4 linked regions of the Arabidopsis thaliana genome follow. The protein of the gene in region 2 interacts with the protein of the main gene of each other region in a pairwise test. Each region holds a gene or a part of one and is shown on either strand. Other genes may lie near its edges.

Evidence for each region.
Region 1: the proteins of TCP1 (region 2) and BOA interact in a two-hybrid assay, tested with the Arabidopsis thaliana proteins (one large-scale study listed by BioGRID).
Region 3: the proteins of TCP1 (region 2) and AT5G26749 interact in a two-hybrid assay, tested with the Arabidopsis thaliana proteins (one large-scale study listed by BioGRID).
Region 4: the proteins of TCP1 (region 2) and WRKY45 interact in a two-hybrid assay, tested with the Arabidopsis thaliana proteins (one large-scale study listed by BioGRID).

What each region holds. Positions count from the first base shown.
Region 1 is NC_003076.8:24,000,555-24,010,885, reverse strand, and holds BOA (Homeodomain-like superfamily protein), read right to left. Parts: upstream 6,999-10,331; 5' UTR 6,840-6,998; coding exon 5,943-6,839; 3' UTR 5,900-5,942; intron 5,726-5,899; 3' UTR 5,533-5,725; exon of another isoform or gene 4,651-5,532; 3' UTR 4,648-4,650; coding exon of another isoform or gene 3,764-4,647; 3' UTR 3,675-3,763; coding exon of another isoform or gene 3,197-3,674; 3' UTR 3,042-3,196; downstream 1-3,041. Other genes in the region: UGT76E2 (UDP-glucosyl transferase 76E2), read left to right, coding at 301-784, 869-1,734; UGT76E1 (UDP-glucosyl transferase 76E1), read left to right, coding at 3,197-3,674, 3,764-4,647; SRR1 (sensitivity to red light reduced protein (SRR1)), read left to right, coding at 9,312-10,139. UniProt on the Arabidopsis thaliana protein: Transcription factor that is a critical component of the regulatory circuit of the circadian clock. Binds to specific sites on CCA1 promoter leading to CCA1 activation.
Region 2 is NC_003070.9:25,165,083-25,172,410, forward strand, and holds TCP1 (TCP family transcription factor), read right to left. Parts: upstream 4,226-7,328; coding exon 3,146-4,225; downstream 1-3,145.
Region 3 is NC_003076.8:9,395,998-9,403,479, forward strand, and holds AT5G26749 (C2H2 and C2HC zinc fingers superfamily protein), read right to left. Parts: upstream 3,271-7,482; 5' UTR 3,243-3,270; coding exon 3,110-3,242; intron 3,026-3,109; coding exon 2,904-3,025; intron 2,757-2,903; coding exon 2,693-2,756; intron 2,562-2,692; coding exon 2,490-2,561; intron 2,398-2,489; coding exon 2,288-2,397; 3' UTR 2,018-2,287; downstream 1-2,017. Other genes in the region: SK 11 (shaggy-related kinase 11), read right to left, coding at 3,585-3,667, 3,770-3,872, 3,987-4,070, 4,172-4,267, 4,367-4,417, 4,505-4,645, 4,733-4,789, 4,886-4,960 and 4 more.
Region 4 is NC_003074.8:324,146-332,016, forward strand, and holds WRKY45 (WRKY DNA-binding protein 45), read right to left. Parts: upstream 3,268-7,871; 5' UTR 3,015-3,267; coding exon 2,761-3,014; intron 2,659-2,760; coding exon 2,469-2,658; 3' UTR 1,807-2,468; downstream 1-1,806. Other genes in the region: AT3G01950 (peroxidase (DUF 3339)), read left to right, coding at 1-93; AT3G01960 (uncharacterized protein), read right to left, coding at 436-635, 726-942; AT3G01961 (uncharacterized protein), read left to right, coding at 1,036-1,206; AT3G01980 (NAD(P)-binding Rossmann-fold superfamily protein), read right to left, coding at 3,602-3,880, 3,954-4,473, 4,597-4,688; ACR6 (ACT domain repeat 6), read left to right, coding at 5,954-5,964, 6,080-6,160, 6,306-6,351, 6,454-6,636, 6,724-7,314, 7,380-7,484, 7,595-7,871. UniProt on the Arabidopsis thaliana protein: Transcription factor. Interacts specifically with the W box (5'-(T)TGAC[CT]-3'), a frequently occurring elicitor-responsive cis-acting element.

The sequences.
Region 1 (10,331 bases), on a different chromosome or scaffold from region 2:
ATTTCCCGAAGCTAATCTTCTTCGGTTTCTTTGTCTAATTTTGTAACCCACGTGTTTGGTCTTTTGCTGCTCCTTTCACACAATGTTGAGAGCTTTCCCCAACCTCATAATTCTTTCCATTAAGAGATAAAATATATATATATATATATATATATATATATAATGTCGATGAGACCAATGAAATAGTTAACCTATCTCTCACGTGTCTATATATCAGATAAGCAGCCTTATGTCTCTTTGAGCTTTTTCCATTTCATATATTGAGAATGAGAGAGAATTAAGAAAAAGAGAGAGAAAACAATGGAGGAAAAGCAAGTGAAGGAGACAAGGATAGTGTTGGTTCCAGTTCCAGCTCAAGGTCATGTAACTCCGATGATGCAACTAGGAAAAGCTCTTCACTCAAAGGGTTTCTCCATCACTGTTGTTCTGACACAGTCTAATCGAGTTAGCTCTTCCAAAGACTTCTCTGATTTCCATTTCCTCACCATCCCAGGCAGCTTAACTGAGTCTGATCTCCAAAACCTAGGACCACAAAAGTTTGTGCTCAAGCTCAATCAAATTTGTGAGGCAAGCTTCAAGCAGTGTATAGGTCAACTATTGCATGAACAATGTAATAATGATATTGCTTGTGTCGTCTACGATGAGTACATGTACTTCTCTCATGCTGCAGTAAAAGAGTTTCAACTTCCTAGTGTCGTCTTTAGCACGACAAGTGCTACTGCTTTTGTCTGTCGCTCTGTTTTGTCTAGAGTCAACGCAGAGTCGTTCTTGATCGACATGAAAGGTATTCAAGATTCTAGCTTGTTTTATCTTAATTCAAAATCCTATTTATAGAAACTAATCCAAATGATCGATGTTATCTTTTCAGATCCTGAAACACAAGACAAAGTATTTCCAGGGTTGCATCCTCTGAGGTACAAGGATCTACCAACTTCAGTATTTGGGCCAATAGAGAGTACGCTCAAGGTTTACAGTGAGACTGTGAACACTCGAACAGCTTCCGCTGTTATCATCAACTCAGCAAGCTGTTTAGAGAGCTCATCTTTGGCAAGGTTGCAACAACAACTGCAAGTTCCGGTGTATCCTATAGGCCCACTTCATATTACAGCTTCAGCGCCTTCTAGTTTACTAGAAGAAGACAGGAGTTGCGTTGAGTGGTTGAACAAGCAAAAATCAAATTCAGTTATTTACATAAGCTTGGGAAGCTTGGCTCTAATGGACACCAAAGACATGTTGGAGATGGCTTGGGGATTAAGTAATAGCAACCAACCTTTCTTATGGGTGGTCAGACCGGGCTCTATTCCGGGGTCAGAATGGACAGAGTCCTTACCAGAGGAATTCAATAGGTTGGTTTCAGAAAGAGGTTACATTGTGAAATGGGCTCCGCAGATGGAAGTTCTCAGACATCCTGCAGTAGGAGGGTTTTGGAGTCACTGTGGATGGAACTCAACAGTAGAGAGCATCGGGGAAGGAGTTCCGATGATATGTAGGCCTTTCACCGGGGATCAGAAAGTCAATGCGAGGTACTTAGAGAGAGTTTGGAGAATTGGGGTTCAATTGGAGGGAGATCTGGATAAAGAAACTGTGGAGAGAGCTGTAGAGTGGTTGCTTGTGGATGAAGAAGGAGCAGAAATGAGGAAGAGAGCCATTGACTTGAAAGAAAAGATTGAAACCTCTGTTAGAAGTGGAGGTTCCTCATGCAGCTCACTAGACGACTTTGTTAATTCCATGTGAAGATGATGAAGGGAGATAAGATAGTCCCTAGTCTCTTAGCAAAAAAAGAAAAAAATAAGGTCCCTAGTCAAAGTCGAAAGTGCATCAAGATGATATACAGGACATGAATTCTATTTTAAGTGTAATATTTGGAAGTTGTCTCTATAATAAGAATTTTTACGTTGTTGTCAAAAAAAAAAAAAAGGAGTTTCTGCATTTGGATACAGAAGCATTATTTTAAGTTACTCTCAAACAGGATAAGAGATAAAAGATGTTGTGCTTCTCCATTACAGTTTCTTAGACCAAATTCAATCACTTAAACCCTCGAAGTTACATCAATTATTTTCACTTTGTCACTATACCAAACAGCTCAACTATTTTTTACTTGAACTCTTAAAGTTACTGCAAATTATTTTCACTTTGACACCATACCAAATCAACTATTTTTACTTGAACCCTTTTAAGTTACTCCAATTAATTTCACTTTGTCGCCAACTCAACTACTTTTGAGTTACTTTAATCGAACTCGTTTTGATGGTCACAAGCCAGAGGTTGTGTCTTAGAATTATACTATTTAAGTCCTTGTACATAATTTTCAGAATGAGAAAGCTCTTGATGCTTTTAAACAGATGTTGGCTCATGAATATTATATCCAAATTCAACAACGATTACTAGCATTTTGCCTGCTTGTACCTCACTTGTGAATATGAAGCAGGGCAGGAGATCCACGGCTACTCGGTGGACTAGAAGATCACGGTTTTGTTACTATCAAAAGTAATGATCTTGTTTGATAAGAAAACAACGGTTTGAAGGAAGTTAGATAAATAACATGTTGGTCAAGTAAACTACAAAAATACAAAATCCTTTGTCTTTTGCCGCGTCTATACATCCACACTACAAAGTTATGAATCCGAATTACGGCAACGCGGCAGCTACAGTGGTTAGATGTCATGTTCAGAAATGAAATTCTAAGGTGTACGTACGTCGACATAATTTAAACGAGTGTGCTAGTTGTTATGTTCAGACATGAAATTATATGTTAACCTTAAGCAAGAGGGAAAATAAGTAAATAAATGATAGAGGTAGACTTAATTAGAAAAATGGTCCAAAACAAGACAACAAACTTAATAAAGAAAATGACAAAAGGAAGCCTTAAATGGTGCTAGTCACCAAATTTGTCACTTCCTTGTAACTTTGGGAATTCTTTGTCTAGTTTATATACTCCACGTGCTTTTTCTTGTGGTATGTCCTTCCTTCCACAATGTTGAGATCTTTCCCTAACCTCATAATTTTCCACTTAGGGATAAAAATAAATAACATGTCGATGAGACCAATGAAACAGTTAATATATATCCCACGTGCTATATTTCATATTAATTAGATCTGGTTCAAGCATTTAAGCATCCTTATGTGTCTTTGAGATTTTTCCATTCACACATTGACCAAAAAAAGAGAGAGACCAAGACTCCAAGAGAGAAAAACAATGGAAGAACTAGGAGTGAAGAGAAGGATAGTATTGGTTCCAGTTCCAGCACAAGGTCATGTAACTCCGATTATGCAACTCGGGAAGGCTCTTTACTCCAAGGGCTTCTCCATCACTGTTGTTCTCACACAGTATAATCGAGTTAGCTCATCCAAGGACTTCTCTGATTTTCATTTCCTCACCATCCCAGGCAGCTTGACCGAGTCTGATCTCAAAAACCTTGGACCATTCAAGTTTCTCTTCAAGCTCAATCAAATTTGCGAGGCAAGCTTCAAGCAATGTATTGGTCAACTATTGCAGGAGCAAGGTAATGATATCGCTTGTGTCGTCTACGATGAGTACATGTACTTCTCCCAAGCTGCAGTTAAAGAGTTTCAACTTCCTAGCGTCCTCTTCAGCACGACAAGTGCTACTGCCTTTGTCTGTCGCTCTGTTTTGTCTAGAGTCAACGCAGAGTCATTCTTGCTTGACATGAAAGGTACTCAAGATTTTTTAGCTTGTTAACTCAAACTTTAAAAGTGCATTTAGGTATATAAACCAATCCAAATGCTGTTGTTTGCTTTGCAGATCCCAAAGTGTCAGACAAGGAATTTCCAGGGTTGCATCCGCTAAGGTACAAGGACCTGCCAACTTCAGCATTTGGGCCATTAGAGAGTATACTCAAGGTTTACAGTGAGACTGTCAACATTCGAACAGCTTCGGCAGTTATCATCAACTCAACAAGCTGTCTAGAGAGCTCATCTTTGGCATGGTTACAAAAACAACTGCAAGTTCCAGTGTATCCTATAGGCCCACTTCACATTGCAGCTTCAGCGCCTTCTAGTTTACTTGAAGAGGACAGGAGTTGCCTTGAGTGGTTGAACAAGCAAAAAATAGGCTCAGTGATTTACATAAGTTTGGGAAGCTTGGCTCTAATGGAAACTAAAGACATGTTGGAGATGGCTTGGGGTTTACGTAATAGCAACCAACCTTTCTTATGGGTGATCCGACCGGGTTCTATTCCCGGCTCGGAATGGACAGAGTCTTTACCGGAGGAATTCAGTAGGTTGGTTTCAGAAAGAGGTTACATTGTGAAATGGGCACCACAGATAGAAGTTCTCAGACATCCTGCAGTGGGAGGGTTTTGGAGTCACTGCGGATGGAACTCGACCCTAGAGAGCATCGGGGAAGGAGTTCCGATGATCTGTAGGCCTTTTACGGGAGATCAGAAAGTCAATGCGAGGTACTTAGAGAGAGTTTGGAGAATTGGGGTTCAATTGGAAGGAGAGCTGGATAAAGGAACAGTGGAGAGAGCTGTAGAGAGATTGATTATGGATGAAGAAGGAGCAGAAATGAGGAAGAGAGTTATCAACTTGAAAGAGAAGCTTCAAGCCTCTGTCAAGAGTAGAGGTTCCTCATTCAGCTCATTAGACAACTTTGTCAATTCCTTAAAAATGATGAATTTCATGTAGTCCCTGTTTTGAAGTCAAAACTGTATCAGAAGAGATTCTTTATAATCATCATGAATCAAATGGCATAAAAGGAGATGGTTTCTATTTTTAGAGTAATGTTTTGGCAGTTGTATCTAAAAATAAAAGAGTTTCTGCATTTATAGACAAAATCATTGTTCACATGATAAGAGATAAAGAGCTTGGGCTTCTCCATTACAGTTGCTGAGGCCACGTTTCAACCACTTGAAACTTTCATTTAGGTTACTTTAATAATATTTCACTGTCACCAAACTAAACAGCTCAACTAAGTCCCATGAAAAGACTGGCGCATTGGAAATTTCAAGGACAGTTTGAGTCAGTTGTTGTAAGTTTAGGAAGGGTAGAGGAGACACGAGTGACCCACAAAGAAGTAATATGAAGATAACGTTAGAGAAACATCTTTTGAATGAAACAAAACAGAGAGGTGAAAAGTGATCTTCTAATGGCGACTCTACATTGGTCACAGAAATATTCTATGGATTCTCATCTAGTTTGCAGATTTAAAGATCTTAACAGATTATTTACCAAATGAAAACTATATGGCTAAAAGGCTAAAACTACTAACTCATTGTGGGCAAAGAAACACGAGCTTATGGTTGAAATGTCACTTTCTTCCTTGTGGTTGGGAGTTAATTGGTGTATGACCATCCAACACAATCAAAAGATACTTTTCTTAAGAAAGAGAAAAACTATTTTAATAGAAGAAAATGATAAATGAAAGAGATATTTATCAAAGTGAGGAGACATGAGACCTGATGCTATCTTCATTATCCAAAGAAAGAAACAATTAACATAACCGAACAAACATGTGACGCTGTCTTGAATTTAAGAAGACTACAAGCGATGAGCAAAAGAAGGCTTTATTACCTCATAAAGAATGGAGACAGTAGGAAACTAAATCATTCATAGAAGGCTTCATCCTCCAACAATACCAAGCTTCCCAGTGATTTTCTCGAAATCATTTTCTATACAAAGGCAATAAAGACTTGTGTGGAAAACATGGAGAATTAAAAGTCACAACAACCTCATGAAGTGGGAAAATAAACCATAAGCCAAGAACCTGTAACAAGAATCAATTAAGATCAACTACTTGCAAAGACAGAGTAAATATATAACAACACCAAACTAGGATTTGACCATAACACTCTACCAAGAAAATTGTAACACTTTGCTAGTAACATGAACAAACATCAAAGAATAAGAATCTCAAAGAAGAAGACGAAAACAAGCTCACCAGTATCTCTCTGTAGAGCAAATTATAGACCTTTAAGATCCATTTACTTGTCATTCACGTCACCACCACCAACAGAAGGATATGTCACCATTGTTCCAAACTTATTCTGCTGCATCATATATTGGTTTGATTCATTGCCATGGTTACTATACTGTTGATAATATCCTTGCATACCCATTTGATTCCCATAGCCTGGAATAGGCACCATCGACGGAACCGGAACCGGAACCCCCAACTTTCCGTTACTTCCTCCGCCGTCTTGAAAGCTCTGTGGAGGAACCGGCGTTGAAGAGAAGAGCTGATCCGACGACGAATAAGGATCTTCTTCCGTCGTCAATCCTTGAATCCGTTTAAGGTAAAGCCTATATTTCTGCAAATGAGACGCAACGTTCTCACGAGTAAGTCCTTCCACGTTCATCAGCTGCATAATCGTCTTCGGCACTGCGTTTTTAATCCCTAGATGAGCCACAACGTCCACAAATCTCTTGTGTAGCTGCGGTGTCCACACTAAACGCGGTCGTTTCGATGTCTTCCCAGACGCGTCTTCAGGCCCGGAGTCTCCTTCCTCCGCCGTGGAATCCTCCACCGCCGCTGCTTCACCACCATCCGATTTCTTCTGTTTCTTCGGATCTGATCCTGGAACACTCGATTCAACTCGATCCACGACCTCCTCCATCACAGACGAAGCATTGGTACTGCTTCTCAACGAAGAGAGCGTGATTTGCGACGCGCGATTGACGTCGTGAATTGTACGGCTTCGTTCTGGGATCATGCTGAAAGCTAACGCGAGAATCGACGGGACTAGATATTGAGATAACGGAGTCAAATCATCTCCGTTGGGTAAACCAATTTCCCATTCCGGAATCCTATATTCATCGCCGCCGCCGGCGTCTTCTCCGTCGTCGTCACCGTAATCGCTCACCATAACTTCCTTCCCCATGTTTCACACACTCTTCGTTTTCATAACTTTCATAACGGTTTCAAATCCTTTAAAGCTCAACAACATGTGGAAAAATATCGGATCAGAGATCGGAGAAGGTGACCGGAAAATTCGTAGAGCCTAGTTTTTTTTCTTTTTAAAAAAAGAAAAAGTGCAAATATCCGCCAACGTGGCCTAGCGAGCTAGATAATCTAAAATATCTTTTACCCGCATCAAAGTCTACTCGCTCTGTCTAAGTGACACGTGTGTAATCAACCAACTTATCTCCAGCCACGTCATTAGTGCATGGTTCTAGAATGTAGACAAAAGGCACGACGGTTTAGGCAGATAGTTGCAATTACAACTAGTAACAAGTGACCCTTTAACGTGGCTAAGTGGGCCAAAAAGAGTTCAATACCGGTGGGTTTGGGCTACGAAAAGAGTTCAATTTTTAAAACAATTATTAAATTTAAAAAATTTCTCTATAAATTAATATTTGTTTAAATTAACAAAATTTCGCAATTCTAATATTATTAATTTATAAAAGTTTTACTGTATCCGCAAACCATACACCACTGCATCGGAACTCAACATTCGCTGTCTGAGTTTAGGGTTAAACAGCAACACATAAAATACACGTTATTTTATAATGAAAAAGAACAATAACGGCCTAAACTACATTTCCTATAATGAAAAATACACGTTATTTTATTTTACGTACTTTACTTTTAAACTACTACTAGCATTTGGCCCCTACTATGCAGGGACAACATTGTTTTAAATTATATCTGCTACAACTCTTAACTAAGATTTTTAAAATAAAGCAGACAGCATAAATATACAACAAATTTATTATCATTGACTGAAGAATATACAAAGATTAAGAAAAAGATATAAAGAAGGTACAACTTTTCTACCCAATGAATCAATTGCGATAGACAGTAACTAACAAATCAAGAGTTTAGAAATATAAGAGAGTATAAGTACGAAAATTATGCTGGGTATATACATGTCCGCTTATTTCATCATTAGCTCCAACCAATTGTAATGTGTTCTTCTTCTCATCATCAGTAATTCAGTTTACAAACATTCGTTGACACCCAAAGCTTGGAAGTCTAAAAAAAAATGTAAAATGTGCACAAGTAAGTAACTACATAACGCAGACGCTGCCTTTGAAACAATATCAAAGATATTGCAGATATAAAGAAGTAAAATAAGAGATGACTTTAAAATTGAAGTATTTGTATTAATACAAAAATCTTGCGTGAAAATACAATTGCGGTTTAATACAAAAAAGAAATTGCAAATATAAAGAAGTAAAATAAGAGATGAAAGAAGAATAGTAAAAAGTATGAGAATTAATTTACCATTAAAAAAACACTTGAGCTTCGATTAAGATATTAAACTCACCCTTGTTTTAAGGCAACTGTTCAGATGAGAAGCCAAAATTTGTCGTTGTTCTTTGAGTGTTTGTGAGACGGGAGAATCATAGGCATTGATTGTATTAAAGAATAATCCTATGGAAAAATGGAGATGTATGAGAGAAATCGAATTCAGTCAAATAAAGCAGAAACAAAGCAAAAAAAAAAAAAAGCCATAGAAATCTAGAAGAAGGATATATGATTTTCGGATCTATGGAGAATTCTATATATATAAAACAAAATTACAAACAAAAATAGAAGATGGTAAATTGGTTCATTGAGATGAACAAAGTACCTGATTTCTGAGTAATCGATTAATGATGTTGAGAAACCCATCTTTGAGATTTTACACAGTAGTCATGGAGTTTTTGGAAGAGAGAAAGTGGAGATGTGGAGATCGTGGGGATGAAAGAGAAAATCGTTTGAGAATGAAACAAAGTTAAATAAAAACGACACATACTATGCGTAAAAATGAAAAAATAAAAAAGTAGTACTAAGCTGATGTGTCAATCACTGAATGCATCAGTTATTGGAAAATTGACTGCTGATTTAGTATATTTAGATTAGTAAAACAAAATCAAAAGAAATAACAGGAAACAAGACTTCAGTTGTCTCTATCTCGCGCCTTTATTGGGCCGTATCTAGACCCATTCCATTTCCTCTAGCCCAATACCTGTTTACCAAATCTTCGCGTACAAATCATCTGATTCACTTTATCGCCGCGCGACTCGGCGCACCAAACTCACAAATGTCTCACTGAGTCCACTCGGTCACCACATATTCGAAGCGTTCTTTGCTTCCTCTGTATTTCAAGCAAGCTTCTTCGATCTTCCTCCTGTGTTTTCGTCTCTAATCGTAAGTTTAATTTTGCTCGGTATCGAAGATTTTTGTCAATCTCAAAGTAGATAGATCAGAGTTAAGCAAAGAGATTGATAATTAGGTTTAGGAATCGAAATTTATTGTGATGTTAGGTAATCGGAACCAATGGAATCATTGCATTGAGTAGAAACCCTAATTTTGGGGGACTGTGGAGTAAGTAGATCAGGAAAACCAGTTTCTTGTGGAAGCTTCAATGGAAACGACTGTTAAAAACTCAAGCAGTGATGGTGAGTGGAAAGTAGTCTTACCTAGTAAAGGAAGACAAGGAAGAAGAAGAAAACCGAAACCTAAAGGTCAAGCAGAAGAAGAAGAGCAACCATGGAAATCAGATGATCTTGAAATTGATCCACAGAGACAAGCAAGACTAAAGCAGAAGATGGAAATCTCTCTGAAGAAAATCGAAAGCTCGAGTTTTTACACAGCATTCTTGGAGCAGCTTAAGTCTCCTGAGGTTTCGAATCAGATTCGCCTCGTGTTAGGGTCTGAAACACAGTTGCAGATGGTGATGTACGGTATAGGTAGCATTGAGTCTTATGAATCTCCGAGGTTTCAGCTGAGCATTGCAATCTTGATGAAGAGAGAGTTTGATTGGGTTGGTGATAACATTGAAGTGTTTGACCCAGTTCTCTCTGCAACTGAATCTAGTTACCTAGAATCTTTGGGATGCAGTGTTCTATCTGTGAATGAGCAAGCTCGTAGGGAAGCTTTAAAGCCTACTCTTTTCTTCATGCCACACTGTGAGGCCAATCTATACAGCAACCTATTGCAAGCAAATTGGAGAATGGATCGACTGTCGAAAATCGCATTGTTTGGGAACAGCTTTCAGATGTATGAGGAGCAAGTTTCATTTGACGCAGAAGTCATCTGTGCTACCAAACGAATCATAGCTGCACAAAGAGTCACAAGCGAGTTTGCTATTGAGACGGAATCAGATGATTATTTTGCAGCATTCCATGATTCAAGCTGGCATTTTTTCAGTTCTGGTATAGATTCGGAGCTGCCATTGTTCGTTTCAGACTAATTTTAGATCATTGTTTTCAAAAGCTTTTTGATTTTCACTTGTGCAACATTTTGTTTATCTGTCTTTTTCCTCCTTGCATAATCTTAGCCTTCAAGGCGGGCAAAACAATTGAAGTTATTGACTTATCAATGCAGTCAATAAAATTTAATGCTTGTCTGATCATAATAAAGATGCAAACCGTGGTTTATTTCT
Region 2 (7,328 bases):
GAGACGAAGTTTAATAATGGGCTCACATAAATAATCCCAAATCTAAGGCCCATTAATTTTGTATTTGGGCCTACAAAGATGGATTTGTTTGTCTAAATTTTCTTAAGAATTTTTTTGTTCAAAACTTTTTTTTCAACAATGTCTTGTTTCATAAAGAAGCAATTTTTTGGTTGGTCATTTTTTCAACTATCTTCTTTCATACATAAGCAATTCATTTGCTTTTTGGTTGGTTATAATTTCATTATTAGTTATTTTACATATTAATAATTATGAATTATTTTCATACTACAAAAAATGACGTAAGACAATGACTGTGATGTGAATTTACAGATTTTAAAACTGAAATCTGTAAATTATTTTCAAAGTATTCGTTTTTCCTTTTACCTTTAGGTAAATCTTTTCTTTATGTTTATATTCAATACCTAATTTTGTAAATCAGTAAATTTATGGTAAGCAAAGACACCCTTGAAGATTGGACGCAGTGAAGAAGGGTCCACTCAAGGTCAGATTAATAAAATAAACAAAGGTACTCTTACAAAGGCATGTTGAAAAGATGTAATGTGAATATTAAAATTAGCTATTTCGGCGAGTTTATTTCATAGGATCTGACAAATGAAATTTTATATAATAAATTTTACTTCACTTTGCAACAAAATCTCGAAGGTAAATCAGTTTCCAGGCATTTACGAATTATATATTGTAGATTATTCATAGGGACTTAACTAATCCAACGACCTAGACAAGTGTAGATACTAATCCAGCGACCTAAGCAAGTGTAGGCAAGTCTAGATATTAAGGTCAGTGAGATGAAAAAGAAAGAATAAACAACAAAAATGAAATGAAAAAATAATAATAAGAAGCAAAAGTTAAATTACATCTTCATATCAGACTATATTTCTCAATCACCTATCGAGCATTGCAAACTTTAGTATGCTTTCTTCTGGCAGTGACAGTTCTTCAACATTCAGTAACTTTTAGTAAGCTTAATATGTTGGGCGAAAAAAAAAAAAGTAAGCTTAATATGTTGCAGTGAGCTTATTCAAAATACATTTGTAAGTGTGTCTACATGATTAATTTCCGAATGGTGGTATTTTGAGAGCTTTTATTTCACATGATGAAGTGTTGCCTTACATATATATGTGCTTCGTATACATTCATGATACACATTTTTGACAAGCGAGTGACACTTTCTGATTCACACCATATCCCACCAGTTTGTTGATAAAAACTATCATTTTATGAGTTTTTCAATCATGTTTATAAAATTTTTCGTAATTTAACAATCAATTATTTTCAACTAAAGTATGATTTAAAATAGTTTTGTTATATTTTTCAAACATGTTAAAACAAATTTTTATTTTCATAATATATTATTTCTTTGATTATTTTCTCATTTTATGAGATTAGGAATGTACAGCGAAAAAATTGTCACATGCACAAACAGCTTCAAAAAGAAACTACATTTGGATAAGCTTTCTAAAACTTGTACCGACTATACTTGTAATGCCAACTTCTCATTCTTCAAAACAGAATCTTACAATCTTCGATGTGTGTGGTTCAAACTTAGTGGAATCTTAAGTCCCTATATATTGAGATTAGATTCCTTCCAAGGTTAAAAAGAAATTCTTATTGTTCATCTTTATCTTGACTGCTCCAACGTGAATGTTCAACCTTCTTACTTTTTTTTTTTTTTCGGTTTAAGAACAACCTTATTACGTACTTAGTCTAATTAAATTAGACTAGCTTTAACCATATATGATCATCTAATTTGACTAATTATCCTAAAATTAGTTAGTTAAACCAAATAAATTTAGGCATATACTGTAAATTTAAAAATTATTAACAAATAGAATCAGTCAAATCTTGTATCATTCTTTTACACGTTTTCATTAACTCCTAACATTCAGTTTCTTAAAAAGTTTTACGTTTTGATAGGATTTCCGACTAAATTGTAAATTAAATTAAAACGACTAAATTCTAGAATCTCAAATTGGTGAATATCAAGTTTCATAAGCAGAATTGATTGGCTAATCTCTTGTATATATGGATCTATTTGGGGTCAGCTAGGAACAACAATATTGATTTAGGTTCATGTCAACGTGTGTTTGGAGTTTGAACTATGATAGCATATTCAGTTTTGAGGATTTATAATAATTCAAACAAATTGGTAGTGACTGAATTGATCCATGTACTTATTTACTACTAAGTGAATGTTATCATTTCAAAACATTGAGTTTTCTTTTGGATTTTTTTTTTTCACATCTCTAGTCAGAGTTTAACCTAAAAGCCTTAAACAAATCTTACTCGAATATGTTAAGTTAACAATCATTGTTTCCAAAACGCCAAACTTCAAACCCCATAAACAAACAACTCATATTTGCTTCAAAAAGCATCATTGCAAAACATCCTCCGAGTAAGAGAATAAATACACCAATATATAAATGTGTATATATCTTCTATATAGACAATAATATGAAAGTAGGATATATTCTCCTCATACCTGGATGGCCAAATCACAAACTATGAATCAAATAGACACCACGGCAGGCACGCCTCCACATTCCACACACTAATTCTCAGTGTCACCTTCAATTTGCAATGTAACTACTTCAGTTTCACTACGACCCTCAATATTCATCATCATACATATTTGGTTTTGTGGGTCTTAATTGAATTTAGGGTTTGAAGAACAAATTCTAATATATGGAGCTCTAACTTAAACAAAAATGGCTTAATCTTAAAGACTAGCTCTTATGTGTAGTGCCTAATCGAAGTATGAATCTTGGATTGTAATGGGATGACCAAATATATAAACATGTTCTTATTCATCTTCAAAATATATAGTTCAAAAGGTTACAATAATACCACTTAAAAGTTGTAGCTAAAATATTACACAAACTGAATCTTAAAATGACAATTTTGATCAAGGCACAGAAGATCAATAAAGATACGTTAAAAAGGAACAGATATACATAACTATAGATTTTGTATACATTCAGAGGAATAAGGGACTATATTGGCTTACATGTTTAAACTTGATCATGCATAGTCCTTCAAAACTGTCGAGATTTATAGGAAACCTGCCAGAAACAATCAAGAGAAAGAAAACATATCATAGAATGCAAACATATATATGAACAATAATTTAGTTTACAAAAGAGTCTTGAATCCAAACTTTACCTTTGGGGAAATTTTTGTCGGTGACTACATATAAGGTTTGGTCATGAAAAGGGTTTTGATCATAACTATAATCCAAATTTTGAGGCAGAAATGTATTATAGTTGCTGCTAGAACTCTGATCTACCAACATAAGTATCCCATTATTTTGATTGTAACTTTGACCCATCTTCGTTGGTAGAGTCATATTGGTTAAGATAGATTCTTGATTATCAAACTCCTCGATTGGTTCCTTGTAGAAAAGGTGTGTCATATCTTCTCCTTCATTGAAGACTATAGACCTCTTGAATGGGTCCATGATTTCAGATTGTGTAATATCAGAGGCAGTCTCTGGATTATCATAGGCCATCATCTCTTTTGTTCGCTCCTTTGCTTTTCCTCTAGCTTTGGCTCCTAGCCCCTTTGATGAGATGTTTCTCAACTCACTCTTCTTCTTTCTTATCCCTGCCTTCGTGGCCTCACATACCACTTCTTCTTCACCGTACCCGGGGCTCAAACCATACACGAAGCTCTTATCGCCATTGTCATCCTCCTCCTTCTCCTCTTCTTGTTCTACATCGCCTCCAATGTTTCCAAAATCTTCATCATCATTGTTGAGGTTTTTTGCTTGTACGACCTCTTTGATGGCTTTTCTTGACTTCTTGAGCAGCCAGTCTAACGTTTTACTAGCTTTATCAAACCCCAACATATCCTGAAGATCAAAGAATTGGCGAGCAATCCCAATAGAAAGCCTAACCCTCCTGTCTCTAATCCCTTGTGCCGTTTGAATCTTGCTATGTCGGTCCTTCTTCACCACCTTCTTGATTTCCTTTGACACCTCAGGAAACTCAAAGCCTTGTTGATTCACAACATTATTTGACTTAAACGCCATGTAATCGATCAGAGATTCAGGAACTGCTGATACCATATGGCCCGGAGATGCTTTTAACTGATGGTTGTAGGGATTATGAATGATGTCTTGATGGCCAGAGAGTGAAGAAAGGTAAAGAGAGAGAGGGTACACTCCATTGTTATTACCATCGTTGTAGTCATTGGTGGAAGACGACATCACCGAACTTAAGAAGCTAAAAAAAACCAAGAATCAAGAATCAAGAACCAAGAATCAAGTATTAAAAATATGCCTTTTTCTTAAGAAACAAAAGCACAACTTTCACATCATCAAAAAGAGAGAATCTGGCAGAGAGAGAGAGAGATAGTAAGCGTACAATTTCTCACACCAGCAAAAAAAGAAAGAAAAGAAAAAAACTATAGAGATATTAATGGTGTAAGAGATGTGTAACAAGAAAATGGTTAAGTGTACAGTGATGAAGACATGATTTTGTGTATGTAATTGAAGATCTGCTCGCAAAAAAGCAGATCTGTTCTTCTCCTCTCTCACTCAGTTACAGGTTAATTTTTCACTAGGGTTTACAACTTTTTTCTAGGGTTTTCAATTCCAGATCTAATATCTGGTTATGAACTTATATATTGGGGATTAACCTCAAACTCAACTATTTTTAGTATCTTCTTAACATTTTACTTTTACTACGTATACATATACAAGTAGGTAACGTACCTTTCGTATGAGTGCTCCACAAAAGCAACATCTAATTAACATGGCCCATATAGTCCAAAAATAATAATTCAACAATAGAAGACGACATATGAAGGATTTGTTTCCATTTCAATGATAAACATCACGCTTTTAAGAGTCAGTATTGAAGGCGATCGATGTTCTTGAATGTATAGTATTTCACTGTTTTTATTTTTTGTCGGATCTCAGACAAGATCTGCTTTGCTTTCGTTTTGGATATAAAAAAAAACTTCTATTCTTTTGTCCAGTGGTTTCTAGTTTTTCCTACATGCCATGGAAATGGAAATTTAGATTTTTTTTGGTGGGTGAATTAGTTTTGACCGGTTAACGAAACTATAGATATGGAATAAATGTGTAGTGTACATATAACAACGTAACATAAACATTATCCCTTTATTTAGGGTTTTTGTCAAAAGAGAAAAGAGGCTTTAATGTGACCTGAGTTGGTTTCCCGTACGATTGAAGATTGTGAAAAGATTTGTCGTTTTCAATTTTCTTTTGACGTCTCTAGCTAGTAGTCAAGGGTTGTTCTAATTTACAGTGGGCGCAAATGCAATATATGCATTCATGCACCCAACTGTTTATATACAAAACCATAGAAAATATAGTTTTTTTTTTTGTTATCACATAAAAATAGTATTTTATCATTTTAGTAATTTGAAATGTGTAACAATATAAATACGACGGTTTTAAAAGATATTTGAAATGAAAAAAAAAATAAGTTGAATCATGACAAAATAAAGGAAACTATATAATTATAACGGTTTCAAGCTTAACAATTTAGGGTTGAGTAGAATTTGGGGTTTTAGATTTTAGTTCTTGGATTTAGTGTTTAGTTTTTAGAGTTTGGAGTTTATAATTTAAAGTTTATAGTTTAGATTTTAGTTAGTATTGTTAATTTATACAAATCTACACTAGTTTCTACCCTAGTAAGTTTAAGGGACGAGTGATTTCTGTTTTGGGTACTTTGAGTTTATTGGAAAAAAAAATTTTCCCCAGGAGAGCTATTTTTTACAGATATTTATACCCTAGTATTTAAATAGGCTTTTAAATCGGTCAATCTATTAAACTCATGTTAGTATAATCGCATAACCGTTTAAGGATTTTAAATCGCAATTGACTCAATTAATTGAAGTTGTCTAATTGTGATGAATTTAATAGTTTAGGTGGAATTATGAGGTTTATGATATAGTTCATGGTGAATTGGGCAGAGTCTAAAAGTACACGGTGATACGAGTTGAACACCTATAATTCGTGTCGGTTTAAACATTTTATAGGCCTTAGGGCTAATTTTTAAAATAAGTCCCTAGCAATGTAAATTGTACAGTTATTTTTTTATATAGAAACCTTTATAAATTTTTTTATATGTTATGAGTATAGGAAAATAAATTTTATGAACTTTTTTTCTCAGAAATGTTTTTTTGGGCCCTTCTTACCCATATTTTTTTATTTTGCCTTCTACCTGTACTTTGTTTTTCTTGGATATTTTTTATCCATCAATATGAGGTACTTGAATTTGAAATATTTTTAGTGGTTATTTTACGATTTTGAGGAAAATATCTGAACTAGGATTGAAGCTAAAAGGAAGGGAATATGTTCGACTATCAAATCCGGGAAGCTTAGAAAATGTGTGAGGGAAACTGGTAAATTAAAACAAGCCATCTATCAACGTAAGTCTCTAAAAAATGAAACTCCAGCAGAAGTCGCTGAGCTTTTTTTTCTTTAATAAGAAGTAAATCGAAGATAGATTTGAAAAATACGAAGTGGCGAACAGCAAATTGAGGAATTGAGGAACATGTATTTAGGATATTAGGGTTTACAGAGTACATAAAGAAAAGGAAGGAAGATAGTGAAGTCGCCCAATTATTTCACTCAACAATGGTATAAATTTCGAACACTTGTTGTAGATGGAAGTTTTGGAGAATGAGCTTTTGGTTTTGGTCAGTGGTGGAGACTGGAGACAAGAGAGTCTTCAATGGAGAGAGGTTTTTTTTTTTTTTTTATTAAACAGGAAATGGTCATTTTTGAGTTATTTGATTCTAAAGTCTCTTCAAATTTCATGTTAGAATATGTGGGTTTGTTTATGTATTAAATAGATGTATCTAAAATCTCTTAAATTCTTCGTTTAATATGTGCTTTTTAGAGACATGGATGCATTCCACCCAAAATCTATAGATCATGGGCTACCACTTTAGTTTACATATTTATATTTTATATTTTCATTTTCAAAGCAATCATCTTAAGTCTTCTAATATTGGTAACAAATTTATATCCCCAAAATCTACATCTCGCTAGGATGCTAGAACATCGTTCATTTTCATCATCGAGTATCCAAACTAGTAAGAGAAAGTCCATTTATGTCGGTTGTCAACTAAGTAGAATCTCTTACAGATGGTTAGCGAACATGTAGCAATGATATATTTGGTATAATAATCCTGAGCCTCAAATACTACAGTATTTGGTCAAGAGATTGCTTAAAAATATTGAATACAAATTTTGATTATTGAGGTAACCTGGAACGTTAAGAAAGAGAGAGTGCTCTCTGTTAACCAAGGAAAATAAGCAATTCTGGAATTAG
Region 3 (7,482 bases), on a different chromosome or scaffold from region 2:
AAATCCTTTTTAATGCCTTTTTTATGATGACCCTTTTCAACTCTACCCTTTTTTAAAACAATTTTCATTTCTACCCTCTCTAAATTTTTAATTACCATTTTATCCCTATTTGGAAATTGTTTTACGTTAACAAAATGAAATATTAATATTTTCGCTTAAAATTGTCTATAATAAATTTCCCGCCAAAATTTTCAAAAAAAAATTCCCGCCAAAATGTTTTTTTCAAAAATATTTTTGCCGCAAAAAAAAACATTTTTGGCGGGAAATAGATTTACAAAGGATTTTAAAAGGGTTTTAAAAGATTTACAAGGGATTTTAAAAGGGTTTTAAAAGATTTACAAGGGATTTTAAAAGGGTTTTGAAATACTTACAAAGGATTTTAAAGGACTTTAAAAGATTTACAAAGGTTTTTTAAAGATTTTTAAAGGGTTTAAAAATATTTTATGGAATTTTAAAAGAGTTTTAAGAGATTTACAAGAAATTTTAAAAGGGTTTTAAAATATATACAATGGATTTTAAAGAGCTTTAAAAGATTTACATAAGCTTTTTAAAGGGTTAAAAAGTGTTTTAAAAGAGTTACAAGGGATTTTAAAAGAGTTTTAAAATATTTACAAGAGATTTTTAAAGGGTTTTGAAAAATGTACAAATGTTTTTAAAAGATTTTTAAAGAATTTACAAGAAGACCCTTTAAAAACTGTTGTAAATCTTTTTAAAACCTTTTAAAATCCTTTGTAAATCTTTTAAAATCCTTTGTAAATTTTTTTAAATCCTTTTAAAATCCCTTGTAAATCTTTTAAAATCTTTTAAAAATCTCTTGTAAATCTATTTCCCGCAAAAAAAATTTACAAGGATTTTTAATTTTTGGCTGATAAAAAAAATATTACGGAAAACAAATTTCGCGAGAAATTTTTTTTTGGAGGGAATTTATTTTTTTGCGGGAAAAAAGTTTGGCGGTATTGTTTTTTTTGGCGGGAAAAAAAAAATATGGCGGGAAAATTTCAGTTTCCAATTACATGTTACTATTAGATGAGGGTAATTTGGTCATTCTGTTCAAGGGAAAAGGTATTTTTAAAAAAGAACCACATATAAGGGTATTGTTGCAAAAGGGTAGTTTTGCAAATCTCCCAAGAATTAAATTCTTTTAATTATAGAATCTAATCCATAATCACTCTTTTATAAAAACGTAAACAATTATTTAACCACATTTAATTGAATTTAGTTGTAAAATCCAAACCCTAAGCATTCTTTTATAAACTCAAATTGACTTATAATCTCGTTTAATCGTAAAATCTAAATCCTAATCTTTTTTATAAATCTAAACAGAAATATAACATTTAATTACAAGATCTAAAACCTTAACTATCCCTTTAATTATAAAATCCTAACTGAAATATAAGATATAACCTTTAATTATAACCCTGAAACCCTAAAACCCTAACAGAAATATAATCTTTAATTATAAAATCTTAAACCTAAACCGACATATAAGTAATTATAATACGCTAATCAAACTCTTCTTTATAAACTCAAACTATTTACTTTGTTCATAATTAAAATAAAAAATAAACTAAAACCCTCCATTATAAACCTAAAAACCAATATATAAATTTGAAATATTAACTAATAAATCATAACCTATCTTTTATAAACTCAAACCAACATGCTCGACTAAATTACTCTTAGGAGATTCGAAGATATTTCTCTCAACAATAAAGAGTTTAAAATTAGTTCTATTTTATGGAGTTGAAGAAATGAAAATGAAGTTAATAATTTAAATATTTGATTCTGAACAATCTGATTTTTCTTTTAGCCAACTTATACTCTGTTTCTCAATAATGTATTTTCTAGGGAAAAAATTGTTCCAACTTTGTAATTAATCTACAGCCTTAGGAATTGCTCCAACTTTGTCAAATATTTTGATAGTTTGGCTTGGGAAGTCTTGTTTAGCACATGGCCAGGAAGCGGATAGCGAATTAGCGATATCCTATCATCACGCAATGAATAGGGACGAGCCAACGAAATTTAAAGAATTTTATCAGAATATCGCACAGTATGTTAAATTGCAAATTTGCCATGTCCAAACTCCGAACAATGTCTCTAAAGTTGACGACAAATTGAGTAACAAGACGACAATTTGGTTGACATTCTTCCAACCTCGAGTCTGAAAAGAGACAAGCTTGTGGCTAAAAGCTTGGTAATGGCAGAGCACAACGAGACAAAGATTAGTCTTTTCCTTTCAAGTAGAATCATCAATGTTGAAACTGAGCATTATTCAGAGAATTTATATCTATCCCCAGTCTATGAAGGGAAGCTGAGGATAGCCTTGCTCAGGAGGCGGTTTTAGCGATGGCGGAAGATCAAACCAACCTGTTCCTGGTCTCCCACTAACAAAATCACCTGTTTTAGACAATTCAAACTTCCAACATCAGATTTTCTATAAATGCTTAAATATTAGAGAACTTGAATGACGAAAAAACAAGAACGCATACGGTTTAAAGTACTTCCTTGGATGTGTTGTTGGTTAAGCATGTCAACACGAAGTTGTGTATTATTTGTGAATCCTGCATTTGAATTCAACAAGAGGATGATGTTTTAAGCAAATCTTGCGCATAGTAGAGACTTCTTTAAAGCTTTAAGTAGCCTAAAAGAGACCAAATCACTGAAGTCAAAAATCAACAGGTTTTGACCTAACCTGTGCTTCCTGTATTGTTGTTAGGATGGAAGTATCTGCAAGAATCTCCAAATGGGCAAAAATTCTGCAAAACCCATTAAGAAAGGAACAGACTTTACTTGGAAGATTACATACATACACACATATGCAATGAATTTTTTTGCAGAATCAAACAAAGCAATGTAAAATGTGTGATTCCACCAGAATATAAACGAAAAGGACAAGACTTTACACATCCAGAGATTGCTAGGAATGATGAACATAGCGAAACAAAATCAATCCGACGTACCGAGGTAATGAATCGATTGCAGAGACCTTTCGTCGCAAAATTGGAGACTTGTGGATTAACAAGATCTAAGAATTTCGTATTAAAAGAAACAGAGATGTTAAAAATCGTTCCTTTAAGAAACAGAGAGAAAAAAGAGAGAAGAGAGATACCTGAGGAAGAAGAACTGTACCAAAGGGCTTTAGCTCGAAGATGAGGTTTGCTTTGAAGATGGCGTTTTCTAGCGACTTGAGTGTCTTGAAACTCTTTCTCGCAATAATCACAGTAATATTTCCCCGACGGCATCTTCCGGCGATGACGACGACGACTCGTAGAATCAAAAAGTTTTGGCTTTTATTAGTTTTAGGCGCGTGAGGATACTTGTATTTGCTACAGTGACTTTTAGGGTCTTTGTTTGATGATGTTGCAGAGGAAGAAGAAGATACAAAAGCAGAAGTAGCAAACTCTTTATCTAGATAAAAAATCTTGGTGGGCTTTTACATTATGAACCAACCAACCATAGTAATAACTCTTTTTTTCTCTACTCATACAACAAACAAAGGGTGCATATCAGTTTGTGACATATTGATACATAGAGAGGTAATTTATAAGAAGTGTTTGTTGTGTTCATGCTACATTAAGAGGAAATCACAAACCGAGCCAAGGACACTGCTTCCTTGCATGCTCAGGTACTAACTTAGCTACCATCTCCAATGGTACACCTTTCAGCTCTGTTTCACAACAATTACAGGTATAGCTTTAGTAAGGTAAAACTTTGATGATTTTACAGGTAAGTTGGAGATAAACACCATTAGGAAAGGGAGATGTTGTACCGTGAGGCTTGAAGTTGAAAAGCGGTGGAAGGAAACGTCCATTAGGTAGACGTGCGTTTGGGTCTCTTAACTCATCAAAGAATGGGTGGACTAATGTGTCGAGCTGTGATCAGGTTTACGATTCAAGTAAAAGCAAGTCAGACAAAAGAAAAATAGGAAATGAAAGGACCATCGAGAAGATTCACAGAAGAATGTTGAATTTGTAAGTAATACTCACAGCGGCACTTCGTAGATTAGGAGAGTATTGAAGAAGTCTTGAGACCAAATCAACAGCTTCTGGAGGCATGCGTTTGTGGAAAATCTGTGAATATATTATGACGAGTAGATATTGTCACATTGACTGTAACTGCTACTGAATAACACATTGACAAGTTGATTTGATGAATATAAGTTTATTTCTACCTTGTGCCATGGATGAGCTTTAATCTGAGGGAATTTGAATTCCGTGTAGTTTGGGTTCATGCACTTGATTTCTTCTCTAGTAGGCGTTCCCAAGACCTACCCCAAAGCATAACAAAAAACATTACATCAAATCTTCTCTCAGTATTATTGAAAACAAGAACTTGTTATCAAAGTGAACAAGTGCAAAGCTTATACCTTGATAATCTCTACAAGTTGATCAACACCGCTCTCACCAGGGAACAAGGGCTGTCATGAGCAGAGAATAGAGTTTGTCAATCACAAAATTCCAGGTTAAGTAGAACAAAAATGTTTGAATAAGATTTAATGCATTACCTGTCCAAGCAATAGTTCAGCTAGAACACATCCTGCAGACCAGACATCAATGGCTGTCGTATACTCGGTTGCTCCAAAAATAAGTTCAGGTGCTCTGTAATACCTCGAGCAGATGTAGGAAATGTTTGGTTCTCCTTTTACCTGTTTTCAGATATTACAATGATCAACAAGATTGAATCTAACTTTTTCCAAGAAACAAAGTACCCGGAAGAGGTTTATCAAACTCACCAATACTTTTGCACTTCCAAAATCACATAGCTTTACTTGATGAGTGTGCGGATTTACCTGTTCCATTACAGGTGAAAAAAGTAGCATTAGACAATGAAGAAAAGTATATTCCCGGGTATACTGTGAGCTCCTGTTTATTTAACTTGTACATACCAACAAGTTTTGAGGTTTTATGTCACGATGACACACACCAATGCATCGGTGAATGTAAGATAAGGCTCTAAAAATCTGCCAAACATAGAGAAATCCGATAAGAGATCCAAAACATAACTCTAAATCTAACAGAAATGTAATAATTGATACCTGATAAGTGTAAAGTTTGACGTATATAAGAGGCATTCTCTGATTCAGTTTGTTGTAGTGTTTGATAACACGATGAACAGTTTCTGGAACGTACTCAAGAACAAGATTGAGGTAAAGCTCATCTTTTTCAGTGGTTGAGAAGAAACAATGTTTCAGAGACACAACATTAGGATGGTCAAGTAGCCTCATGGTTTGAAGCTCACGGTTCTTGTACCTCCTATCTTGTAAAACTTTCTTTATCGCAACAGTTTCTCCTGTCTCAAGACATTTCGCCTAAATCACATAAGAAAATACAGAGGAATCCAATTCAGTCAATTGATAGATACATGATGTAAAACGTGAGAGATGATAAGCTAACAAAAACTCACTTGGAACACAACACCAAAAGATCCGTGACCAACAACACGCTCAGCCATGTAGCTAATTGTCTGCATTGACATTGTAGAAAAATTAATAAAAACACGAAACACTAACCAATCAACTAACTTAAGAAGATTAAAAGAACAGTTTTTTGCAAAGAAGAAGAATCAAAAACCTGTTTTGGTTGGCCATTTCTACCACCAATAGTAGTCACAATGATATGTCCAGTCTCTGTTCCATTTCCATCTACCACTGTCGCTTCCATTTCCTAACAAACCACAATCCATTATTTAGATTCTCATGAAATACATACCAAAAACTATACTACAACGCATGGAAACATACTTTATCGTCACGAATTTTCATGTCATTCATTTCTTCAGGCAATTTATCAACACCAGTAGAGTCTCTTGCTCCAGGATTAGGAGCTATACCCACTGACGCCATTTTTCAGGCTACAAAACTCTTCAAACTTTCAAGCCTGCAACAAATAACAACAGAGATTAAAATCCAATGAGTAAAGTTTGTTGCTTTACTAATAACAAAACACACAAATTCAATTTCAATAAAGGAACAAAACACAATTCTTTCAAGCTTAACAATTGAACACTTCAAATAAGTAAAAAACAATTTAGAACACTAAAATTACGAAAAGGAAAGTTTTTTTTTAACGGGAACAAAAAAAATAATGATAAGCCCAAAAAAAGTTGCAAAATTTAAAAGACCCAAACATTAAAACCAAATTAGAGTTTGGTAGAGAAGAGAGAATCTGTCGATTTTAAAATGATGGGTTAAATTAAAATTCATGGTGAAGCAGATCTGAAGCTAAAACCCAGAAGAAGGGATGAAGAAAGAGAGAGATCTTTAAGACGTACCGATGAAAACGTAAAAATCTCAGATCGATGAAGAGAAGAATTAGGATATTAAAGAGAGAGAGATCCGTACGAGTAAGGATTTGTGGGTTTTAACAAAAAAAAAAAAAAGGATTTGTGGGTTTGATGATTATGAATCTCTCTCTCTAACTTTATTTATTTTTCCGGTGAGAGACGAATTATGAAATATTTTTACTTTATATTATTTTGTGATTCGTCTATAATCATCTCTCTCTATATAGCTGGCTTCTCGTGAAGACAATTTTATTATTACTATATTGTAAAAGAAAAAAAATTAAATCATTTTTTTTTTTTGGTAGGGTGGGGAAAAAAAATTAAATCATTGATAGGCAAATGGATAATTTCTTTGAAAGTGAAAAAGAAAAAATAATGGGACTCGTCGAAGTTAGTAAAGTTACATTGGTTTTAGTTTTTGTCCTCTTTTTGAGATTTGACCATTCAAACTTTTATATTTTCTTCCCAACACAACAAACCAAAAGAGATAAGGGTCATAGAAAATAATGCATAAAGAACTTATTTATTAGGATTATTGGTAACTAAAAGTGTTTTAGCTGTTAGTTGGAGCTGTAAACTTTAGCTGTACGAAAAATTAGTAAAATAAATTGAGAATAAAACTGTTTGTAACGTTTTTAATAAAGTTTTTGTGATCGGTAAATATTAAAACTGTATGTTTTAGAAAATTTTGTACAGTTTTTTAAAATTGTTACCAATCAAACCCATTATTTTAATGTGATTGGTACATTAAAACCACCATATGTTTCTTTGAATTTTTCTTGTAGTTAAAAACATCTAATTAGTATAGGAATTTATTTAGAAGAAGAATAAGTGAGGGTAATTTTGACTTTTAAAATTTGTATACCTAAAGAATATACGAAGGAGACCAGAAGCTGAAAATGGGCCGTTGGGTCAAACGTGTCGGAGAGGAAACAAAAAAGAAAATAATCAACGACCACTTTTTTTATTATAAGGTGAGGTGAGAGACCCTCCCTATCTAAAGTAGTAACCTATCTCAATAATTCATCCCCAATTATTGGATTTTATCCCTACTACATTTAATTTATAGTTAGGAAAAAACATTATGGTGACAATTCTTTATTTTATTCCATGTACATTTCATTTATAAACACTAGTAGATGTGAATTAAATGTTGAAACAAGTATTATATAACAAACAAGAGATTCTGGCTAGGAATTA
Region 4 (7,871 bases), on a different chromosome or scaffold from region 2:
AGCGGCCCCTCCATTGTCATCCACACTCTCCTCTTCTTCGCCTTCATCACCATCTCCCTCATCGCCCTTCACATCCACATCTACGCCGCCTAATTAACCCTACCTTCCCCTTCACGTCATGGCTCCTTTTCTTCATTTCTTGATTTCTGATTTTCTTGTGGAATACTGTTAGTTCCTTCTTTTATGGTTGGTTCATTTATCAAGAATAATCATTTTTATGAACCATGTATATTGTCATAATTAAGTTCCCACTTTTTATTTTGGTTTTGAGATTTCAAAGAGTAAGAGTAACTTATCTCGCCTACTTATTACAGACCCCAAATAAAAGCTTTAATTCCCACTAATATCTTATCTTGAAGCAACGTAGAACAGAACTTATGACTTACGTATAATATAACTAGGTCAACGTACGTAACTCCACTTAAATCCTAAAAGTCAATTTTCATCATCTAAGCTAATAACAGTCGTCAGTTTCTCACAATATTGGTCCGCCTTAAACCTCTCTCGAACCGAAGAGATATAAGAAGCGGCTCTAGCGTCAACGCAGTCGTCCACTCCGTTAATACCTCTGCCGATCAGCTTCTCTGCCATCATGTTCAGCTTCTTTTCCATATCCTTACCCTCAGGAGCCAAGGCTGCCAGTCACTAATTATAGACATGTATATATGAAAGATAGATAGCTATAATTAGCTAAACTAGATTTAAAAGAAAGGTTAATTACGTACATGGTTGAAGGAGGAAGCTAACTTTAGGAGGGAGAGGCGTAGTGGCAGTTACGTAGTTGTTGAAATCAGGTTGACGAGCGTAGGAAGTCGTAGTGGAAGAAGTGTAATGAACATTATTATAAAGGTCTTGGGAAGGAGTTGGAGATTTCACAGCTTTGCAAAAGGGCATTAGCTTAGCTATCATGAACCCTCTTGATCTCCTTCTGTTCATCTCCATGATATTACAACTCTTTTTTTCTTTCCCGATCGAGATCTACCTGTAGCTGGTGTTTCATGCATTCAAACATAGTGTGTTGTTGCGTAGATATATATGGGAGGGTTTCGTTATGTTGTGACGAATACATGCAGGGAGATAGAGATATCAAAGACGCGTGGTCCTTCGTCTTGCAATAATATCACTCAGAAGCATAACATGTTGATGACGAGATCTCAACTTTCAGGCTCAAACAGCCACGACGACACATCTCATTTTACAATTTAAAATATATGATATATGTGTAATTATACAGTACAGGGTTCAATCCTTACGCACTATATTTACGCTCCTTAATTATCTATCTTCCGCGGTAGACAGATGATACGGACGATTTATGAGAAATATCTCGGAGAAAATTTATAAGATATATCTTGTAGTTCAATTAATAGATATATTATTCTCTAAGTTCTATATGAAATAATGGATGGCGCAAAGCCGCAAACTCTACAATTTCTCATTGCAAAACATATTTTCCCAATTGCTATATAAAAAAAGAACATAACATTTTTCCATTCAATGGGTTCGGAAAAAAGTGAAAGTGTTGAGATTAAGGAACCGTTATTTTATCCGTGTTTAATAAATTTTGTGTAACTAACTTTTTCGTATAACTTTTGAAAAGAATCAAGAAAATGTGGATAAGTTTCGATTTATGTAAGAATGTGAATTAATTTATTCGTGAGAGATTAATATAAAGAAATTCACAAGCGAATAACATTATCTTCGTGCGGTATTGTGGCGGCGGTAAATTAAAACGCAACAATTTGAGTTTGATAATTATTACGAAAGACTTAATTAGCTAAATCTGTAAAATAACATTATCTTCGTGCCGATGTCATCAAAACACTCTAGAATAGAAAAGGAAGAAAGCATATCTTTTGAGAAGATTCTGACTGTTATGTGATCTATATATATTCTGTTGCATATTTGCTTTTGTGTTAAATGGTCCAATGGTATAATCCAATAATATCACCATATTCCGGATGACATGGTCCTTGGTTCTTTTTGTAAAGATTTGGGCTTGTTGGGCTGACTTGACATTATGAAAAACACGAGAGCCCAGGCTAATGGGCCTAACAAAGAAAGCGTCCTCCGTTCTAAAGCGAAACGTGAAGCATATTCGCAATTGGATCCAAGAAGAAACCTCAAAGTTAGCTTTCGTACTCTTTCTCATCTTCATCTCCACAATATCCTTAGCTTGTCACTAGTTTTGGAATAATCGGTAGGTTTGGGATACATAACATTGTTTTTGTAGATGATAGACTCATCATTGCTTCTTTATGTTTGGTAATTTGATGATGAATATACTTTCGATTACAGGGCAGCCGAGACTAAGACACCAAAGCAGATGGATTCAAAGGTCCCATAAAGACAAAGATAAGGATTAGTATTTTTGAGATATGTGAGTTGCTGCTAGTTTAAAAGTAAAGGTCTGATGGTGTGAGCCCAACGTTTTTGGGAAAGTAAATATTACAATCCAATTCCTCTAATCATTCCTTCAAGCAAAAGGGAGGGAAGATGTGCATTTGTGTCAAGATGTGGTGGAAATTATCAGAGGGTTTATCAACGGCATGTGTATGAACACCTTGGTATGTCGTCACCACCACTCCTTCGTCTCCCCATTGCCTCTGCACTTGCTTCTTCACTCTGCATCCTTCTTCTGTGCACTTATAATAGCTCCTATATATATATATATTCATATTTTACATGTATGTATATGAGTCTCTTATTTGATCACCATAGCAAGCATACAGTATCATTCATTGATGATTAAGTACGTACCTGGGGAATGGATTGTTCTTGACTGCTTTTTGGCCGTACTTCCTCCACCTGTATCCATCATCCAGTATATCAACCTGGCTTCTTGTCTGGAACGCGTACCTCGCTTCTCTCTCTTTCTTCTTCTTCTTACTCCTTGGCTTCTCTTCGGATGATGTTGTCGGCTGAGCAGAGTTGTCGACCCCATGAAACTCTGTCAAGCGAGGATCAACCGATGATGAACATGGAAACAACACATCACACCTCCTATCCTCCATTTCTTAACTCCCTCTGCGTTTATGGTGGGAACTTGAAAAAAGCCAAGGAGGGGAGGGAGAGAAAGAGAGACGTACACGGTAGCGAAGATGCCAGAGAAAGTGATATATATTGAAAATATGGCTACATTAGCGGATCCATCACAGAAAAAGAGTTTTGTGGAAACAAAAAGGTGTGGCGGCTACATCATTCTGATTTATATTATTATATATGCAACTCCTTCAAATTTTGGTTCAATGGATTCAAATTTCAAACATATTTCTTGGTCAAGAATCAATATGCATCTAGATCTCTGAGGTAATCATTCTTTTCTTATTTGATTTACAATTTGGATTAGCAAGGTTTCCAAGATAATATCCAATATCACGTGTATTTGAGGTTCACCTACCAAACTTGATTGAATTCAATAAACAATGAGCTCGAATGATGTTGAGATTGTTGACTATTTTGGCTCTTTGCTTTCTTCTATACTTGTCAAAAGTATATAATCATTGATTCCATGGATTATTCATCCCTCCATAGTTATTCAAACTTGATTCATATTCACTTTTTACACACAACATAGAATTATAATAATACTAGGCATTGATCACATGTAGGATTTGAGACGGGGTCGCGTAAGGGACTGCGCTCCATCCACCAAGACAGTGGTGCCTGTCATGAAGCGTGAGCCATCGCTGATCAAGTAGATAACAGTGGAGTAGAGGTCTGTGTCCGGGTTGAGCCACTGGCCGAGGGGTGCAGCGTCCTTGACCAGCTTCTGCGCTCGGTCTCTTCCCACAGAAGCTGTATACTCATCATCCAGATGCAGCCCTCTAGAGATCATGTTGACCCGTATCTTGTGCTTCCCGAGACTCATGGCTGATGCCTGAAACCCAATCATCAACAAACATATTCAAGTTACGAACGCGATGTGTCTAATTAGGAGCTAGGATGCATACCCGGACGAGCTGGTGAATAGCGGCAGAAGTTGAAGCGTAGGCATCAGCGCCAGGGTAAAGCGCCCTCTCTCCGCTGGCGATAGTGGCCATGAAGACAATGGAGCCTCCTGATCCATGGTCCTTCATCCTTGTGGCTACAGCCTTCAAGAGAAACCATGGAGCGGTGAGATTGATCTTTGTGATTCTGTGGAACTCATCTTGAGAGACTTGAAGAATGTCCTGCACCTTTCCTGCAAGAAAGAAAGATTGTTGAATAAAGGAATGATCAACACACAAGAGCATCAAAGGCAGGGTAGTGAAAAACAAGAAGCAAATTAAACCTTGGTAGGTATAAGAGTTGAGAAAAGCATCGAAATGGCCGGAAAGTTCCCATGCCTTTTGGACAGCGGCATGAAAAGCAACTTCAGAGTCAGATTCCATGTCGAGTGCTATAACATCGGCAGGGAAGGCTCCCTCAATGGAATCTCTAATCTTGTCTACAATGCTCCTTAGGGAACCCTCATTTCCCATCATTACCAACCTAGCAACAGTACATTGCATTTTTTGAAGGTTAACTATAGACACCAAAGTCAACCACAACACAAATCGGGGCTAGAAGAAGAAACACAGGATAGGAGGAAAGAAGACAAAATGAGAGACTCACTTGCAACCGTGTTTGGCTAGATGGAAAGCGATGTTTCGGGACACCTCGTCGCCGTTGGATGTCATCAACACTCTCTTCGCCGGATTTTCCATTTTGCCAAAGTAACTCTTTATAAAACAATTCAGCAGATTCAACAAGACTTAAGGGAGGGAGGGAGTGAGATTGATTCGATCGCCAATTCTAAATAACTATAAAGAGTGGCTGCAAAAGCTCTTACCGGAACTGTGTCTGTGTGTTACCAAAACGGCGAAACAAAGCAAATAATTAATGCCTAACCACATGATCCACCACGTTCTGTTGTTACCTTCTTTAATTTGTAGATAGAAGAAGATGGTGATTGATAACGGAGATGTATTTTTTTCTTTAATAAAAAGCCCACTTCAAGGCCCAGATCCATTTCTGTACTTTGTAGGTTTTCCAACTTTCCCGGCGCCGGAAGCAAGCGTAAGTTATCACTGTTCCCCAACCAAATTCCATCATATCCTATTATCCTACTACTAATGGATCCATCTCCAAGATTCCTAATTTCACTTTGCTACAAACTTATTTCGTGTTTTTGGTTTATAATTAATAGCCGTTGTTGGTTATGAATATGTAAGCATAAAAGGCATTTGGGAGCTCCAGACAGACAATGAATCATCAACATCAGGTACTCTGTCTTTCGTTTATGTTTCTGTTCCATTCTTTTGAAATATATAGAGGAGGAACTTGTTATTAGCTAGTCCATTGATCAACACACAAAGAGTGAGAATGAAAGCAATTCCTCCAACCAAAAGGATGCTTTCCCTTATTGATTTAGTTGGACCAATATATAAAGAGAACAAAGGAGGGTGTTGGTAGGTAACAAAAGATTCTAGGTGGTGGGAGGGTAGTGGATTTTTGAAAACCGTGTGTTGACTTAATGAAAGAGGTGTAGAGTAATGGGATTGTGAGAGTGTTAAATAATAAAAGACTAGGATACGAAATCATTGTGACATGTCAATTTTTCAAGTGGGTGGTGGAATCCGCAACAAAATATAAAATAAGAAAAATGCTTTGCTTGCTTGCTTGCTCTACTTTGCCTTCTTTTTGCAACCAACATGACGTTATGCTGGAAAGGAATCAAATTGTTACTTGGTCATGCACCTGTGAACGTTACGGAGAGGTCTACCTCAAGATAACGAATGATCTATTATACTAGTAAATACCACATCTTGCTTGAGAAGGAGAATATAATCCCCTTTATGATCATCAAATTGACCCCAAATCTTCACCCGACTTTTGGTAGTATTCGAACAATTATAACAGAATCTAAAAGTTGCTGTGCCCGTGCCACGTCATCTCTAAGAATCTTTAGTGGCACGTGCTCGATCAACTAATGAAAACAAGGTTCGGTTCCGGTGGCCTACCATTTTTATCCTCCTTCAACTTCCCTCTCCCTCTCTCTTTTAGGAATTTTCCTCAGAAATTGGAGGACTCACACTCTTCTGGGTTTCTGCTGCAGCCAAATCACCAAGGAGATACATACTACAACCATGGATGATGATGAATATGCCAAGCTCATCAGGAGAATGAATCCTCCCAGGTTTTTCTCTTTCTCTCCATACTCTTTTATTGTTTTCTAGGTCCTCTGTTTCTCCATGCTCCGTTTGTGAGCCTCTATACCCTTGTAAAGATTCCAGCTGCTAAAACATTCATCTTTATTTATGTATGTTTCATGGTGGATACAGAGTTGTAATAGACAACAACGCAAGCGACGATGCCACTGTTATTCAGGTAAATAAATCTGTCTCTTCAAATTGTTCAAGTGGTTCTGTACCAAACAAAGAGATTTTGAGAAAACAGAGTTCCCTGTTTGTTTGTGGTGCTAAATAAAAGGTTGATAGTGTGAACAAACATGGGACTCTATTGGAAGTAGTACAAGTGCTCACTGATATGAATCTTGTGATCAAGAAAGCTTACATCTCTTCCGATGGAGGTTGGTTCATGGACGTTTTCAAAGTCATCGACCAAGATGGCAATAAGATCAGAGACACTCAAGTCCTTGACTATATCCAAAAGGTTTCTAATGTATTTCATCACTTTTTTTCTTTCATTTTCAACAGGTTTTTTTCTTTGTGTAAAACGTTTGTTGAATTCATTGCGCAGAGGATAGAGAGCAACGCTGGGTGGTTCATTCCACCTTTGAGAAGCTCAGTTGGTGTAATGCCCACTGACGAATACACATCCATTGAGCTCGCTGGAACTGACAGACCCGGTCTCTTGTCTGAAGTATCTGCTGTTCTCACAGACCTTCACTGCAACGTTGTGAACGCTGAGATATGGACTCACAACACCAGAGCTGCAGCGGTTATTCATGTCACGGACAATTCAACTCATTCTGCCATTACTGACCCGATTCGCCTTTCCACCATCAAGGAGCTGCTGTGCAATGTAGTGAGGACAAACAGCGGCTCAAGAGCTGCGAAAACAGTCTTCTCTTGTTCTGATACACACAGGGAGAGACGGTTGCATCAGATCATGTTTGATGATAGGGACTACGAGGGAGTCAAAAGAGCAAGGACATCGGCGTCAAGGCCCAGTGTCACACTAATGAACATTGAGAAGGATTATACCGTTGTTACCATGAGGTCCAAAGATAGACCAAAGCTTGTGTTTGACGTAGTCTGTACTTTGACTGATATGCAGTATGTGGTGTTCCATGGCATGGTCAGCACAGAACCAGTGGAGGCTTATCAGGTAACTACTCAACGGCCGTCTGTTGGGATCTCTCTTCTAACAATAATATGAGTGTTTTGCTGCAGGAATTTTACATCCGTCATGTGGATGGACTTCCCATAAACTCAGAAGCAGAGCAAGAACGTGTCATACAATGTCTGGAAGCAGCCATTGAGAGGAGAGCATCGGAGGTAACCAATTAGGAATGTGAAAATTCTCTGTCTTGGCTCAAATTACATTCTGTTCTGCATCGATTTCTGATATACTCAAGACAGATTGTGCATATGAAACATACTTTCAGGGTTTAGAGCTGGAATTATCAGCAGAAGACCGAGTTGGTCTTCTCTCAGACATAACCAGAACATTCCGAGAGAACAGCTTAACCATTGTGAGAGCAGAGATATCAACGCGAGAGGGTAAGGCTAAAGACACGTTCTACGTTACAGACGTGACTGGAAACCCGGTTGAATCAAAAATCGTGGAGTCAATCAGACAACAGATAGGAGTAAGCAAGCTGAAGGTGAAGAAGAAGGAGAAGGAGCATTGCTCTGTTCTTGGTACAAGCAGGCCTTCGCACG